Linked DNA regions of Struthio camelus. The protein of the gene in region 1 binds, or shares a complex with, the protein of each later gene. Links are inferred from orthologs where the notes say so. Each region holds a gene or a part of one and is shown in the gene's direction. Other genes may lie near its edges.

Region 1 (6,947 bases):
CGTCCCCGCGCTCGCCGGCGCTCACCCTGGGGCACGTCCTCGGCCCGGTAGACGCGGAGCTGCAGGGCTGCCACGCAGGCGGGGAGCGAGGAGGGCTGCAGGAGGTTGGCCTCCACGTCCTCGCTCTCGGCTGGCTTCGCCTGGTCCTGGCGGAGAAGAGATGGGGTGGATGGCGGCGGCGGCGGCGAAGCTCAGCGCCCGCCCGAGCGGGGCTGGCTGCAGGGACGCTCACCGGCGCGGGGTCCCCGGCGCGCAGCACGCTCAGGCTGACTCGCAGGTAGCCTCGGAGGCCGGCGTCGAGGCGGTCGGGGTGGTGGAGGCCGAGCCACTTCCAGGCGAGCGTCCGACCTGCCGGAGGCAGATGCTGAGCAGCTGCACCGAGGGGACCCCGTCCGCTGCCGCCACCGCCGTGATGCCCACCTACCGGGTGAGCTGTAGACGCTGCCGACGTCCAGCTGCGCGCCGGTGCGGGTGAGAAGGTGAGACGGCGGCCCTTTCCTCCGGCGCGCCCCGTCCGTCCCCACCCCGTCGCCCCTCACCTTGAAGACGCCGATGACGGACTCGGCGCGGACCGCCTGGGAGTTGAGCACCTGCGGGACCGGCCGCCCCGCGCTCCGGCATCGGCTGCGGCCCCGCCGGGGCCACCCGCGCCCGCCGCCGCGTCCTACCTGGATGTGGATGGGCTGCTCCAAGAGGCCGGCGAGCGTCTCGCGGAAATTCTGGCAAAACACCTGGGGAGAAAGGGGCCGGCAGCCGCAATCACCGCCGCTCACTCCCCGGCGCCGCTTCCCGCCGTCTCCCCGCCCTGTTTCCCGCCCACCTCGTCGTAGTAGGGGTTGTTCCCGCTCCTGATCCTCGTCCGGAACACGTGCTCGCCGATGAACACCTTCACCACCGGCTTGATGTTGTTCCCGCGCAGCTGGCGCCCTTCGATGATCCGCACTCGCACCTGGAGCGGGGACGCGATGGGTGCTGCGACCGCCCGGCCGGGAAAAAACTGCCGCAGTCTCCCCGCCGGTGCTCGGCGTTACCTGGAAATCCTGTTTCCTTCCCGACGCTTCCCTCCCGGGGCTCGGCCAGGGGGTCCCGCGCGGCACCTCTAGGCACAGCAAAAGGGGACGGCGCATTGTCGTCCCCGCGGCCAAATCGAGCGCCGGGGCGGGAGGAGGCGTCCTCACCTGCGGCAGCTCTGCTGGGCGCCCGCGGCGTCTCGTGCCCGGCGGGGACGTAGGAGCAGCTAAGGGTGACGGTGCACTGCGAAGCAACGTGCCCGTGAGCACCGCCGGGTGCCGCCGGGACGAGGAGGAGGAAGGTGCTGGGCGCTCACCCCCGTGGGCCGGCGGTTCCGGTCGAGCAGCGGCACGTTGCGCAGGGCGAGCGGGCGGCTCGGCTCCGCCACCAGCTGCCCCAGCGGCACCGTGGCGGCACCCAGGTCCCTGCGGGGCGACGGGCGGTGAGCGCGGCGGCAGCCCCGGCAAGGGTCCCCGTCTGCCACCACTCACCCGTTGGTGGCTGGGCGGCCCCACTGCCGCAGGCACAGCGCCACGACGGCGGAGGGCTCCAGCGGCCGGGCGCCCAGCGGCCACACCAGCGTCTGCGGGGACACGCGGGGCGTTGGGGCTCGGCTCCTGCCGGCCACCGCAGGAAAGTGATTTGCCACCATGGGAAAGCAATGCCACCACCACAGGAAAGTCATGCCACCACCGCAGGAAAGTGATGCCACCACCGTGGGAAAGCGATGCCGCCACCATGGGAAAGTGATTTGCCACCATGGGAAAGCAATGCCACCACCACGGGAAAGTGGTGCCACCACGGGAAAGCCACCACCATGGGCAAGTGATGCCACCACCATGGGAAAGTGATTTGCCACCATGGGAAAGCAATGCCACCACTGCAAGAAAGTGATTTGCCACTGCAGGAAAATGATGCCACCACCACGGGAAAGTGATGCCACCACCACGGGAAAGTGATGCCACCATCATGGGAAAGTGATGCTGATGCCACCGCTGCAGCCACGTGGCCTCACCTCGTTCCACGCTGTGTCGCGCTCGCCTGGCACCACTCGGGTGCTCCTGGGGACGCCTGGGGACAGGGAGGAGGTTGGGTGCGTGCCGGGTGGGTGCTGCCCGGAGGCGTCCCCCGTCCCGTCCCCCGTCCCAGCTGCTGGGGTACCTCTGAACTCGGCGCGCACGTGCACGTCGGCGATGGGCGCCCGCGGCGCGGGGATGCGAGCGCTGGCCACCACCAGGCGCAGCATGTCGGCGCAGGGAGCTGGGTGCTGGGCCGGGGCGCAGGGTGCCGAGCCGGGGTGCGAGGTGCCGGCGGCGCGTTCCAGAACGCCGGGTCACAGTGGGGGGACGGACGGTGCCCCAGGGTCCCTGTGCCAAGCACAGGCTGCCCCGGGCCTGCTGCTGCTGCTGCTGCTGTCTCAGGTCGTGGCGTGCCCCCCAGCACCCCATGGCACCCCAGGGCACCCCAGGGCACCTGCAGCACCTTGTGGCACCCTGTGGCACCCCACAGCATCTGCAGCACCCCACGGCACCCCATGGCAGCCCAGGACACCTGCAGCACCTTGTGGCACCCTATGGCACCCCACAGCATCTGCAGCAGCCCACAGCACTCCATGGCACCCCATGGCACCCCACAGCACCCCACAGCACTTGCAGCACCTCACGGCACCCCACGGCACCCCATGGCACCCTGCAGCACCCCACGGCACCCCATGGCACTCTGTGGCACCCCATGGCACCCTGTAGCACCCCGCAAGGCATCCGCAGCACCCTATGGCACCCACAGCACCTTGTGGCATCCCACAGCACCCCATGGTGCCCTCAGCACCCTGCAGCACCCCATGGCACCCCCCCTGCCCTCTCTGACACCCCCCAGCACCCTATGGCACCCTGCAGCACCCCATGGCACCCCCTGCACTCTGTGACCCCCCCCAGCACCCCATGACACCCCAAAGCACCCCATGGCACCCTGCAGCACCCGCAGCACTGTGTCTGCCTGCACTCGCGGGGGCTGGTGCCACCGTGTCACTGTGCCAGGCCGTACCCGTGGGTGCCCCGTGTCCCCACGTGTGTGCTGGCGTCCCGTGAGGGTGCGTACCCATGCCCCTGGGTCCTTGTGTCCCCACGGGGCTGTGTCCCCACGTCACTCTGTCTTGGTGTCTCAATGTCCCCTTGGGGGGGGAGGGTGTCCCCGTGTCCCCGTGTCCCCTGTATGTGTGTGTACCCATGTCACTGTGACCCCGTGCCCGTGTGTCCCCATGTCGCTGTGTCCCCGAGCTGCTGTGTCCTTGTGTCACTGTGTCCCTGTGTCGCCATGTCTGTATGTCCCCATGTCCGTATGTCCCCATATCGCTGTGTCCCTGAGCTGCTGTGTCCTCATGCCACTGTGTCCTCGTGCCACTGTGTCCCCATGTCTGCGTGTCCCTGTGCCTCTATGTCCCCGTGTCTCTGTGTCCCCATATCCTCATAGCCCTGTGTACCCCCGTGTCCCCATATCCCCGTGTCCGTGTGTCGCTGTGTCCCCATGTCCGTGTGTCCCCGTGTCTCTATTCCCCCGTGTCCCCGTGTCCCCATGTCGCTGTGTCCCCCTGTGTCCCCATGTCCCCCTGTGTCCCCCTGTGTCCCCATGTCCCCCTGTGTCCCCGTGCCCCCGCGCACCGGGCCTCTCCCTCACACTCCGCTCCGCCTGCATCCGCTCTCCGCGCTTTGACCGCGCCCCGCCGCCCTCCGCTCCGCTCCGCTCCGCCCGGCCTCAAACTCCGCTCCGCACTTTCCAGTGCGCGCTCCAGCCGGCCCCGGGCGGGCGGCGCATGCGCGTTGCGGCGCGGCGGCCCCGGCCCAGGCCCCAGCGGCAGGCGCGGCCCCCGGCCCGGCCCTGGCGCGGGATGCGGCGCGGGCGGCGGCGGCGGCGGCGCTAGCGGCCATGTCGCAGCGCGGCGGCGGCGAGCGGGACCTGCAGTGGTCGGCGCGCAGGATGGGGACGTCGCTGCTGCTGCAGCTGTCGGTGCACGAGCGGGAGCTGGACCTGGTGTGCCTGGACCACAGCTACGCCAAGCCCTGGAGCGCCCACCCCGACGCCAGCGCCGCCCGCCCCACCCGCATGCTCTTCGTCACGCCGCGGCGCCAGCCCGACAGCGCCCTGTGAGCGCCGGGGCCGGAGCGGGGGGGCGTGGGGGTGTCTGGGGGGCTGTGGGGGGGAGTGGGGGGCCTCTAGGGCGCTGTAGGGGGGAGTGGGGGGTGTCGGGGGGGAGGGGGGGCTGTAGGGGGGCTGGGGGGGGCTCCTGGCGGGCTCGGGGGGAGTGGGAGTGTCTAGGCGGCTGCTAGGGGGGGAGTGGGGGTCTCTAGAGGGCCTCTGGGGGGGAGTGGGGGTGTCTGGGGGGCTTCTGGAGGGGAGTGGGGGGTGTCTGGGATCTCCTGGGGGGCTGTAGGGGGGCTGGGGGGGCTCCTGGGGAGCTGGGGGGGAGTGGGGTGTCTAGGGGGCTCCTGGGGGGCGGCTGAGGGGGAGTGAGGGGTGTCTGGGGGGGCTGTTAGGGGGGAGTGAGGGGCGTCTAGGGGCCTGTATTGGGGCTGTAAGGGGGGAGTGGGGGGTGTCTAGGGGGCTGTATGGGGGAATAGGGGGTGTCTGGGGGGCTGTATTGGGGCTGTTGGGGGGAGTGGGAGGTGCCTGGGGGGCTCCTGGGGGCTGTAAGGGGGAGTAGGAGGTGCCTGGGGGGCTCCTGGGGGATAGTGGGGAGTGGGGGGTCCCTAGGGGACTCCTGGGGGCTACGGGGCCTGTAGGAGGGAGTAGGAGCCTCTAAGGGGCTGTAGGGGGGAGTGGAGGGTCTCTAGGGGGCTTCTGGGGGGGCTGTAGAGCAGAGTGGGGGGGTCTCGGGTACTCCTAGGGGGCTGGGGGGGCTGTAGTGGGGAGTGTGGAGTCTCTGGGGGGCTGGAGGGGGCTGTAGTGGGGAGTAAGGGGTCTCTGGAGGACTACTGTGGGGCTGAGGAGGCTATTTTGGGGAGTGGGTGGTCTCTAGGGGGGTGCTATGGGGCTGGATGGTCTGTAGCGAGGAGTGGGGGGTCTCTGGGGGGCAGTGGGGGCCTGCTGTGGGGCTAGGGAGGCTGTAGTGGGGAGTGGGGGGTGTCTGGGGGGCTATAGTGGGGAGTGGAGGATCTCTAGGGGGCAGTGGGGGTCTCCTAGAGGGTCGGGGGGGCTGTTGGGGGCAGTGGGGGGCTCCTGGGTGGTCTGTAGTGGGGAGTGGGGGGGTCTCTAGGGGGCAGTGGGGGGCTCCTGTGGGGCTAGGTGGTCTGGAGTGGGGAGTGGGGGGACTCTGGGGGGCAGCTGGGGGGTGTGCGTGCTGTGGGGCTGGACTTGGGTGCTGTGGGGGGACTGGAGCTGCGCGGTTTGGACAGACCTGAGGTTACGGCTGTGTTTGGAGTTGCAATCAGCCTGAAGATGTGGGGTGAGGTATGGGGGTGCGCTCAGGGTCGCAGCATGGGGCTTGAGGGGTCATGGCAGGATTCGGGGGGGGTCAAGGCTCAAGCGTTTGGTTTTGGGCTTGTGAATGGGCTTGAGGCTGGAGCTCAGGGATTTGGTGCCCGGCTTGGGATGTCTTTGGGATCAGGGCTCATTCGCGTCTTCAGTGTTTTTCTCCTTTGCTTTTGGGCCATGATCTCTGGGTCCTTTGCTAGGAAGTAGCTTCTCCCTGTCCTGTGTCACGGCCCAGGTGCTGGCCGCGAAACTCGCTTTCTTAAACATTAGTTGCTCAGCAGCTCTTCTGGCAGGAGAAGACCAGGCTTAGCAGGGTCCTCTAAGGCACGTTCATTTGTAGAGCTTAAAACAGGAAAAAAAGACTGCCTAGTCTCAGACCAGAAATGATAAGATACCTGCTTATGAAGCCTAGTGGCTAAAGTGATTAAAAACATCTGCCAGAAGCTATAGGTACTTTATTAAATATTAAGCCTAAGATGCTTCGGTGGTTTATATTCACACCATCTAAACAACTGTCCGAACAGCATTCGGTCTTGCAGCCTGAGTCAGGATTTATGGGAAAGAGTTGGACCCAAGGTCCCAGTTGGTTACAAATTCTTCTTGATTTTTATAGTGTAGCATGTCCCCACGGTGTGCTCTCCAAATGCAAGATCTCATTACAAAGAGTGCAATTCCACAGTAGTCCACTTAGTCGCAGCATCTTTGGAGAGAGATGTGGGAATACGGACAAAATAAGTTCACGGGTGTCTCGTGCGTACCTGGGGCAGGTAGACACAGATCCCTGAGGCATCAGGCGCGCTCTCTGATCCGCTCAGGTTTTTTCCAGGTTACATCCCGTTTTCTAAAGTGAAATTTTCCTCACAGCGAAGCAGATATCCCCATCGATGTCGAAACAGTGACGCCCACGCCTGTGCCGCTCTACGACAACCAGAAAGCCCGCAGTGTGATGAACGAGTGTGAGCGCCATGTGATGTTTGCGCGCACGGATGCTGATGCTCCTCCTCCGCCAGATGACTGGGAGGAACACGTGAACAGGTAACGCGGGGCGCCAGGGTTGCAGAGGAAAGAAATTGTGATCCTAAGTAACTATCCATGCAGTAGCTGTGGCAGTTGTGCTTCGGGGACTCATCTTGCTGGTTACATTGCAGCACGTATTAGTATATAAAGCCGCAGCCAGCCAGAGGATGGTGTAGTGCCAGATGCTGTGTGAAATGCAGTTGGGGCCATAAATATTTTAGAAAAAAAGCAGAAATGGAGAGGAAAATCGTGGTACGGAGCAGTGAGGTGACTCTTCTGTGTCTGCAGCCGGTGAATGAGGGCTAGGGAGGACGAGTCGGCGTGCTGAATCCGGTCCAATGCAGCGCGTGCTTGACTACGCTCGCTTTGCGTTCTCTGTGTTCACTGAAGTCTTTAAGAAAGCTGGAGAGACCAAAGCGGGTCACTTTATTGCCTCAATTGCCTTTATGAAC
Region 2 (8,005 bases), on another chromosome or scaffold:
GCCTGGGGCAGCCCATCTCCCAGGGCACAGCTCAGAAGCAGGTGGCCTCTCCTTACCCCAGGCCAACAAAGCCAGGGGTCCCCACGGCAAACTGGACAAGGGTCCCACGGGGGCCAACGGGCACAACACAAACCAAGCCAGTGACTACCAGGATACAGTCAATATGTTGCACTCGCTGTTGAGTGCGCAGGGCATGCAGCCCACCGGGGCCCCTGGCTTCGAATTCCACTCGTGTGGCGAGTACTTGAACCCCCGGGCTGCCGTGAGCTCCAGAGCCGCCAACACGGACAAACCCCGACCGCCCCCGCTGCCGTCGGAACCCCCCCCTCCGCTCCCCCCGCTCCCCAAGTAAAGCCCTTTTTACTACTGAGTTTGTACAGACGAGCCTGCTTGCCCGAGCCTGAAACCTGGGCTGCCCCTGCAGGGGAGGGAAAGGGCTGTTTGGTCTCCACTGCCTCACGAAGAACTATTTTTATTATAACTTTTATTATTGGTATTTAGAGCGCGGAGTTGTTGAAGCTGTGAAAGGATGAGAAACCCTTTCTCCGTTCATCGCTCCCTCCCCCACCGACTTCCAGTTAGTGGTGGGGTCTGTCCCTGCTGGAACTGAAGCCCCCTCTGGGGATCACGTACTGTGGGGGCCCTGGGGGGTATTTAAAACGTGTCACAGAAAATCTAAGACATTTTACAAATAATTTAAGCAGTAACTTATATCTTAGTGTTTTTGTTCATTTTAATTTTGTAATGCTGGCAGGTGCTGCAGGGGACCCTCGTGAAGGGCTCAGGCTGCGTCTCGTTGGTCAGGAGGCTCCGTTCGAGCTGTTGGCGATGGAAAGTGGCTCAGGAGCTTTTCGGGGATGGAGCAGAGGAAGTGGTGCGAGGAGAGGGCAGGAGCTGGAGGCAGCTCGGCCGGGGCAGCGGAGGGAATCCCAGCTGCTGCCGACTCGGGGTAATTCGGAGTTGCTCTGCCTGCTGTTGTTTCAGTTTCCTCATCTGCAAAAGCGGCTCTCGTTTAGGCTGTCTCTCCCTCTCTGAGCGAAGGGGGAGGATCCGGTATCTTCCTCTGTCCCTCAGCTCTTCCCCTCCTGCTGAACGAGAGACTGCCTGGCAGGTCACGTTGCTTCTGCTGAAAAATCCCCCCTGAAAGGTGGCGGTTCATGGGAGAAAGGTGCATGTTGGAGGTTGTGGCTTCTGGGGTGATGGTGAAGGAGAGTCTCGCCAGCCTCACCTTGCGTGTTACCTGCTTAGCAGAAGGGCCAGGAGTCAGCATGGCGCGGTGAGACCTCGCTCACCTCCTGGTGGTGCGGAGCTGATGCGGGAGAGGGAAGCAGGGGTGCGAACGGGGAGAGCTGTGAACGGGGTGCGTTTAAGTCATGTTACGGATCGCGATTCTTAACATTGGCTATGGAAAGGGCTGCGGAAACGTTGGGGTGTTGGTGGTGGTGTTTCGTGGCAGCTGGTGCGATGTGAACATCCAGGGCGAGGTGGTTGGTGACTGCGGGCTTGGCTGAGGGCCTGTCTGTCACCTCAGGTGGCGGTTTTGGGGAGAGGGTCCGGAGGAGCTGCCCACGTGTGGCTGGCCTGGCCCAGCACTGCTCGGCTTCTGAGGCGAGGGGCCTCGTATGCGGAGTGGGCTTGTGCCCAAGGGGTGCCCGGCTGGGTTGACGGAGAGCTGCATTGGAGCTGGCTAGAATGATACCTTGGCAGAATATCAGCTTAACGTGAAATCTAGGAGTCCATTTGCAGGGTGCCACTGGCAGCTGTGCAGGAAGGGTGTGGAGCTGGCTGGACCACAGCCTGGGAAATGGTGTTTCGAGCATGTAAGCCACGTAGAGCCTAGTCTGGGTATAAACGTGAAATACGTTGACAGATGTGGTCTGTAGTTGCACAGGGCTTAATCTGAGAGGAGCTGCATCGCGGGTCTCGCAGTTGGGAAATACGATGAAAATGGGCAAGGCGGGCAGCTTCTGAGCGACTGCAGATCCTCCTCGGCTCTGGGCCCGGTGTCAGGCACAAGATCCTGCTGGCTGGACAGGGAATCCTGTGTGCACTTTGCTGTTCGCAACCCTTATCTCTCCAAGTTGGAAACCTAGCTTTTACTGCTACCTAAATCCTGGAACAGGGAATCCAGCTGGAGGTGGGAAGTTTCAGTCTAACGTTTTGGAAAAGCCGACTTATTTTCTTCTCGGACTATACTTTTCCAAACTTCAATAAACGTACTGTCTCCTTATGTTTTTGTGAAACTCTGTTCTACATCCAGTTCCTCTTATTTTAAAGAGCAATCAGTAATGCTAACCCTTGCCAGTGCCAGCTTGCTGGAGCTGGTCAACCACCAGGGTAACCTCTTAGGTACAGAGTTTATGTTTGAAGCTCCCAGCAGAGATTTGTCTCTTGCTTACCTGGGTGCTTTGAGAGCCTGCGCGGCATGGTTTGTCAGGCGTTGCGGCGAATCGTGCTGCCCTTTCCCTTATTCAGTAGGGGAGCAATTCCAGCTGCAGCCTTCTCTGCAGGGAGGTATCGAGTGTAACGCGCTAGTGAGTCTCTGCGCGTGTCCTGGAAAACTTGAGCATCTTCAAGACGAGCTACACGTCTGGTTCTTGTTGCTGCAAAAGCCTTAACTGCAGGGTCACTGCCACACTGGCTGGAGACATCTGCCACAAGCGAAGGCGTCTCCTGGGCAGGTCTTAAGCGTTTAGTGCCCATTCAGGCCTACGCGTGGAGGCGAGACGGGTGCCCTGCACCTCTGTCTCGCAGGCGGTACCAGCAGAAGCAATCCTCTTCTGAGTGATTTCTGCGTCCTTTTGTTTAAGGCTGCGCTTGTGGTTTGTGTGGCTGTGAGCTGGTGTTGTGTTTGGGCGCGTGAGATGGGGGATGCGCGAAGGCCCTCAGCGTGGCCGGGGGCTTTACCTCCAGGGTGGATTCAGGTGATAGGACAGAGGAGGTTATTGGACGCGAGTTTGGGCTGTCTCTGGGTTTCCTGCTGCCGTGCTTCAGGCTATATTCTTGAACGCGAAGAAGCTTTTCCTGGGCACCCCCAAAGTGCGTCCCTCTTCCTTGCCGGAAAGAGCCTGGGGCGTTTGTCGTGTACCGGCAGAGAACACCTGGCCGCAGACCTAAATTTTCTTTTTCTATCTAAAGCTGTTTCTGATTTGTACCTGCCACCTCCCCATGGGGGGGCTTGAGGGGTAACACGAGCCTCCCCTCATGCTTTCCTCTTCCCTGCTCGGGCGAGCGCTGGGAGCGAGAGCCGAAGCCAGGGTAAGGAAGGTGCTTTTGAGTATTATTCTTAAAACATTTATAAATATTTAAACTTCGGGAAACTTTTTAAAAACCAGATAGACGTGTGCTACCTGCTCTAGCCCGTAACCGGTGTTAGAGCTTTCCCTCCTGCAGGGGAAGGGGCAAAGGCAGGGGAGCTCCCGGGGGAAAGGGGGGGGGGGGCGGCGGCCGAGCCGGTGCCCCGCGGCCACCGGGAGCTTTTTGCCTTCCCGGAGCCAAAATGCGAAACCTGCTTCCGTCTCTCCTCTCTCACTCAGGGCTGCCGGGTGCTCGCAACCCCGCTTCCCCCGCGGCGGGGCCGCGGCTGCGTTGCCTCCGCTCACCGGCTGCAGCGGCCGCCGGTAAGGGCGCCCGGTAAGGACACTCCCCCCCCCCCCCTTCCCCGGGCACGGCGCCGGTGCTCGGTCGCTCGCGGGCACTGTCTCTCGCTGTGTATTTATCCACATCAATAAAAGTGAACGGCAAAGGAGGCAGCCGAGCTGCAGCGCTGTGTCCCGAGCTCTTCCTTGGCGGCGGCGGCGGCGGCCCCGCGCCCACGTGTCGGTTCCCACCGCGCCCCCCCTCCACGTGACCGCCCAGGGGGGAGGAGGCGTGGCCGGCCGCTGAGCGGAGGGACGGCTCGCTCGGCCAACGGCGTGCGGCGCCGCCCCTGCGGCCGCCGCGGATTGGCGGCGGGGCGAGCCAGTGAGGCGGCGGGAGGGGCGGGCGGGCGCGCGCGGCGCAGACGGCGGCCAGGCTGGGGCGCGAGCGAGGTAAGATGGCGGCGGCGCCGCCGCCGCCCGCCCCGAGCAGAGCCCGCCGGCCCCGCCGCCTGCCCGCTCCCCCGGTGGCTTCTTCCCCACCCGTCCCGGCCGCGGGCACCGATCCCCCGCCCCGTCCTCCGCGTCGACGCCGCCACCTGGGCCCCTTCGGCAGCCCCCCTCACGCCCGCCGCCCGCGGACAAAATGGCGGCGCCGGGGCAGCCGGGCGGCGCGAGGGCGCATGCGCGGGCCCGGCGCGAGGCGGGTGGCGGAGCACGTGCGCGGGGAGGAGGCGGCGGTGCACCGGGGGGGGGGGTCTGCACGGGGGTGCACTAGGGGGGTGCACTAGGGGGGTGCACCGGGGAGGAGGCGGCTCTGCACGGGGGTGCCCCGAGGGGTGCACCGGGGAGGAGGCGGCCGTGCACGGGGTGCCCCGAGGGGTGCACCGGGGAGGAGGCGGCCGTGCAGGGGGTGCACTAGGGGGGTGCACCGGGAGGTGCATCGGGGATGAGGCGGCCGTGTACGGGGTGCCCCGAGGGGGTGCACCGGGAGGAGGGGTGATCTGCATGGGGTGCACCGAGGAGTGTACCGGGGGGGGCCATCTGCATGGGGGTGCACCGGGGAGGAGGTGGCCGTGCACGAGGTGCACCGGTAGGGGGGGGATCTCCGGGAGGGTGCACCGGGAGTGGAGGGGAGTCTGCACGGGAATGCACCAAGGTGTGCCCCGGGGGTGTACCGGGATTGGGGGGATCTGTACGAGGGTGCACTGAGGGGTGCTCCGGGGAGGAGGCGACCGTGCACGGGTTGCACCGGGAGAGGGTAGGATCCATACGGGGTGCCCCGAGGGGTGCACCGGGAGAGGGGGAGAACATGCACGGGGGGGTGCCTGAGGAGGAGGTGGTGGCCGTGCAGGGGGGGCACACCAGGAGGAAGGGGGACCTGCACGGGGGTGCACTGGGAGAAGGGAATCATGCATGGAGGTGCCCCGGGAGTAGGGGGGGCCAGCACTTAGGGGTGCGCTGGGACGAAAGCATCCTATACTGGGGCTTAGCTGGTGACCTGTGAATTGGGAGCATGGGGTGCTGCACTGAGGGAGTGCAAAGGTGGGGGTGAGGATTGGGCACTCGAGAAGGAGGTGTATATGGGAGGGTGTTTGAGGGGTGGGGGGTCCTGCACAGGGAGGAAGGTGCCTGGTATCGAGGGACTGGAGGGAATGGTTCTGTATCGGGTGGCAGATCCTGCACTGGGAGGAAGGGGTTGCATATTGGGATGGTGGGGTTGGAGCGGTTGCCCGCTGGGGCGTGGAGGGTTTGTGCAGAGAGGGAAGGGGGTCTGGAAAACGTACCCCTGGCCACGCTGCTGGCAGGTGGCAACGCTTGGAAGCTCAGGTACCTAAGTGAAGCATGTTTCCTCTGCCGCCGAATTGGGGTTACTGTGAAGTCGAGTTTCCCATGAAACTATGTCTGTAGGAACAGTTTCTCGTCCCAGGAGGACAAAGAGTTTTATTCAGAAGTTGGCAGGTATTAGCAGAGACTGCTCTTTCTTTTTATCAGTCGTTTGCTTAATTTCTTTTAATTGGAGCTGTATCTCTCTAGCAGGTGTTGGCATGAACAGAATTCGGATCCATGTTTTGCCGTCAAGTCGAGGACGCCTTACTCCTGTGCCGCGGCCCCAGGAACCTCTGTCATGTGCCTTTACTCACCGCCAGTGTTCGCAGCCACGGCTGGAAGGGCAGGAGTTTTGTATTAAGCATATTCTGGAAGACAGGACTGCTCCTTTCAAGCAGTGCAGCTACGTTTCAACAAAGAACGGAAAGCGGTGTCCAAACGCTGCGCCCAAACCAGAGAAAAAGGATGGGTAAGCATTTCCATTTCCCAGTCCTTTGCTCTGTACTGTATAGAGTTAAAAGAGGCAGAAGCAAGAGTACCATGGGGTGAAGGCATAGGTCTCTGCAGGTCCTTTTCCTTATTCTGCTGCTGCGCTTATGTTAACCTCAGACAAGTGATTTTCCATTTTTGAAGCATTGTTAATCCAGCAGAAAGACTGTGAGCACTGAGAGCTCTGCATGGAGTCTTTTTGGTCCTGCAGGACTATCAGGCTGCTGCCCTCTGTCATCAGAAGGTGGCTGTGCTGTTTCAGGAGCCAGGGTGCTTGGTGGGAGCTGCGGTTGCATCCGCATGGTGCTGCACCTGAGCTAACCCTGGCAAACTCGAGTTGTCTGTGTCTGTGCTTAGGGTTAATCCTCAACACAGATACTCTGGTCATGTATTACAGATCCTCTGGTCATGTATTATTTGGAGTTGATGACCTGGTTGTGCTTGTTGTTCCTTGATGCGTGTAAAATGTTCCAGCTGTTACAGATGAAAAGGCCTAGAATAATTATTGACACCCAGTAAACACGTCAGCAGAATGCAGTTATTGGAGCGTCGGCCTTTATTTACTTCCCAGAGGTCACTGAAATTTGAACGTTAGCAGTCTTGATTCTGCCCTTGGTGCCTCTGCGATAAAAAGGATGCATCTAATGTGGGCCAACGTGCTCTGCACGAAAACTTTAAAGTCCAGCGTGAATGTTTGGAAGCAGTTTACCTCTGCGGCTTGAAGTAAAAAGCCCTTTTCTCTCCCTGCTGCTGTGCCATGTGGCTGCCGGCTTCAGTGCCAGAGGTGGCGTTTTATGGTGGTGTGTGGTCTGCGAACCACTTGGGGCTCTCTGGCATTTCTGAACGATACCGGCAGCCGGTGATAGATGGTTACGTTTTGCTCACGAAGGGTAGCTGTGGAGTGGGGTATGCCTTCCAAATGGCAGGGAGCGTTTCTCACTGTATCGCTTGTTCGTTTTGCTGGCTGACTGAGAGCTTGGAGTCGTAACGTGTTTTTGATTTATTTGCTCAGTGTGTCGTTCTGCGCGGAACATGCCCGTAGGAATACTCTGGCACTCCAAGCTCAGATGAAAAAGTCCAATCCTGGACCTGTAAGCGAGACTCTCCTTTGCCAGCTTAGCTCTTACGCCAAAACAGAGCTGGGCTCCCAGACTGCAGAGAGTAGCCGCAGTGAAGCCAGTCGAATCCTAGGTAAGAATTTAACGTGAAAACCGGTGAGAGAGAACCAGGAGTTCTCTTTTTTGTTTGGAAACGCCAAGAACGTTGCTTATTAAATCCAGTGGTAGAAAAGGGATCCTGGGGTCTGTGGCAAAAGATCGTGTCCCACACCCCTGTGTGTTTTGCCTACCAGTGACTGCAGATAAGTCACATTATAGGTATGTCCCATCACCAGGCCAAAATCTTGTGGGTTCTCTTCGGTAGACGTGTCTGGAAGCTCCCCTCATTGCTTGTTTAGTCTCTTGCTGTGCCTGTCAAACACTGCTGTTAGATGTGTCTGTTCCCTACAGCTCGGTGGTGAGCTTCCCATCTTGCAGGGTCACTCGGTGGGGAGCCGGCAGGCGGTTCGTGGTTCTTAAGTAGGCAAGAATGTTACTCCACAGGAGCTGTATATTTTGGCTGCACATAATTAATTGGTGGGTTTCCTGTTGTACCATATTGCTCGCTCACGTTGTGTTGGGGAGAAGTTTCTCTTGGAGGAGAGACAGAGCTGGCTCACCTCCGTACTTGCCGTGGAACAGCCTCCCCCGGGGTCCCTGGCTGCCCTGTGCTGGAGTAACAAGCCCTGGGAAGCAGGGCAGGGTCCTGCCTCTCACGGAGACTTGTCTTTGCAGATGACGACAGTTGGAGCGACGGCGAGCAGGACCCTATCACAGTGGACCAGACGTGGCGAGGGGACCCGGACAGCGAGGCTGACAGCATTGATAGCGACCAGGAGGATCCCTTGAAGTAAGTTGGGTGGTGGTGGCGGCTCCTAGCTGGTTACGCGTGTCCTGCAGAACGCCCTGAACTCCGGGTGATACCAGGGTGGATGGCGGTTATGTTAAAGCGATGACGTTATTAATGATGTTGCAGTTGGACTTTGTGTCTCTAGTGAGTTGTTAGGCATG

What was found. Proteins that work in one complex are often made in the same cells at the same time.
Region 2: KANSL3 (region 1) and KANSL2 share a complex: the UniProt entries of both Homo sapiens proteins name them as parts of the NSL complex. The link is inferred for Struthio camelus from reciprocal best matches to the Homo sapiens genes KANSL3 and KANSL2.

The regions. Positions count from the first base shown.
Region 1 is NC_090968.1:1,247,877-1,254,823, reverse strand, and holds the start of KANSL3 (KAT8 regulatory NSL complex subunit 3), read left to right. Parts: upstream 1-3,882; 5' UTR 3,883-3,933; coding exon 3,934-4,151; intron 4,152-6,342; coding exon 6,343-6,513; intron 6,514-6,947. UniProt on the Homo sapiens protein: Non-catalytic component of the NSL histone acetyltransferase complex, a multiprotein complex that mediates histone H4 acetylation at 'Lys-5'- and 'Lys-8' (H4K5ac and H4K8ac) at transcription start sites and promotes transcription initiation.
Region 2 is NC_090969.1:1,056,313-1,064,317, forward strand, and holds the start of KANSL2 (KAT8 regulatory NSL complex subunit 2), read left to right. Parts: upstream 1-4,969; 5' UTR 4,970-5,161; coding exon 5,162-5,408; exon of another isoform or gene 5,409-5,479; coding exon of another isoform or gene 5,480-5,489; coding exon 5,490-5,540; intron 5,541-5,615; coding exon 5,616-5,877; intron 5,878-6,909; coding exon 6,910-7,088; intron 7,089-7,729; coding exon 7,730-7,844; intron 7,845-8,005. Other genes in the region: CCNT1 (cyclin-T1), read left to right, coding at 1-352. UniProt on the Homo sapiens protein: Non-catalytic component of the NSL histone acetyltransferase complex, a multiprotein complex that mediates histone H4 acetylation at 'Lys-5'- and 'Lys-8' (H4K5ac and H4K8ac) at transcription start sites and promotes transcription initiation.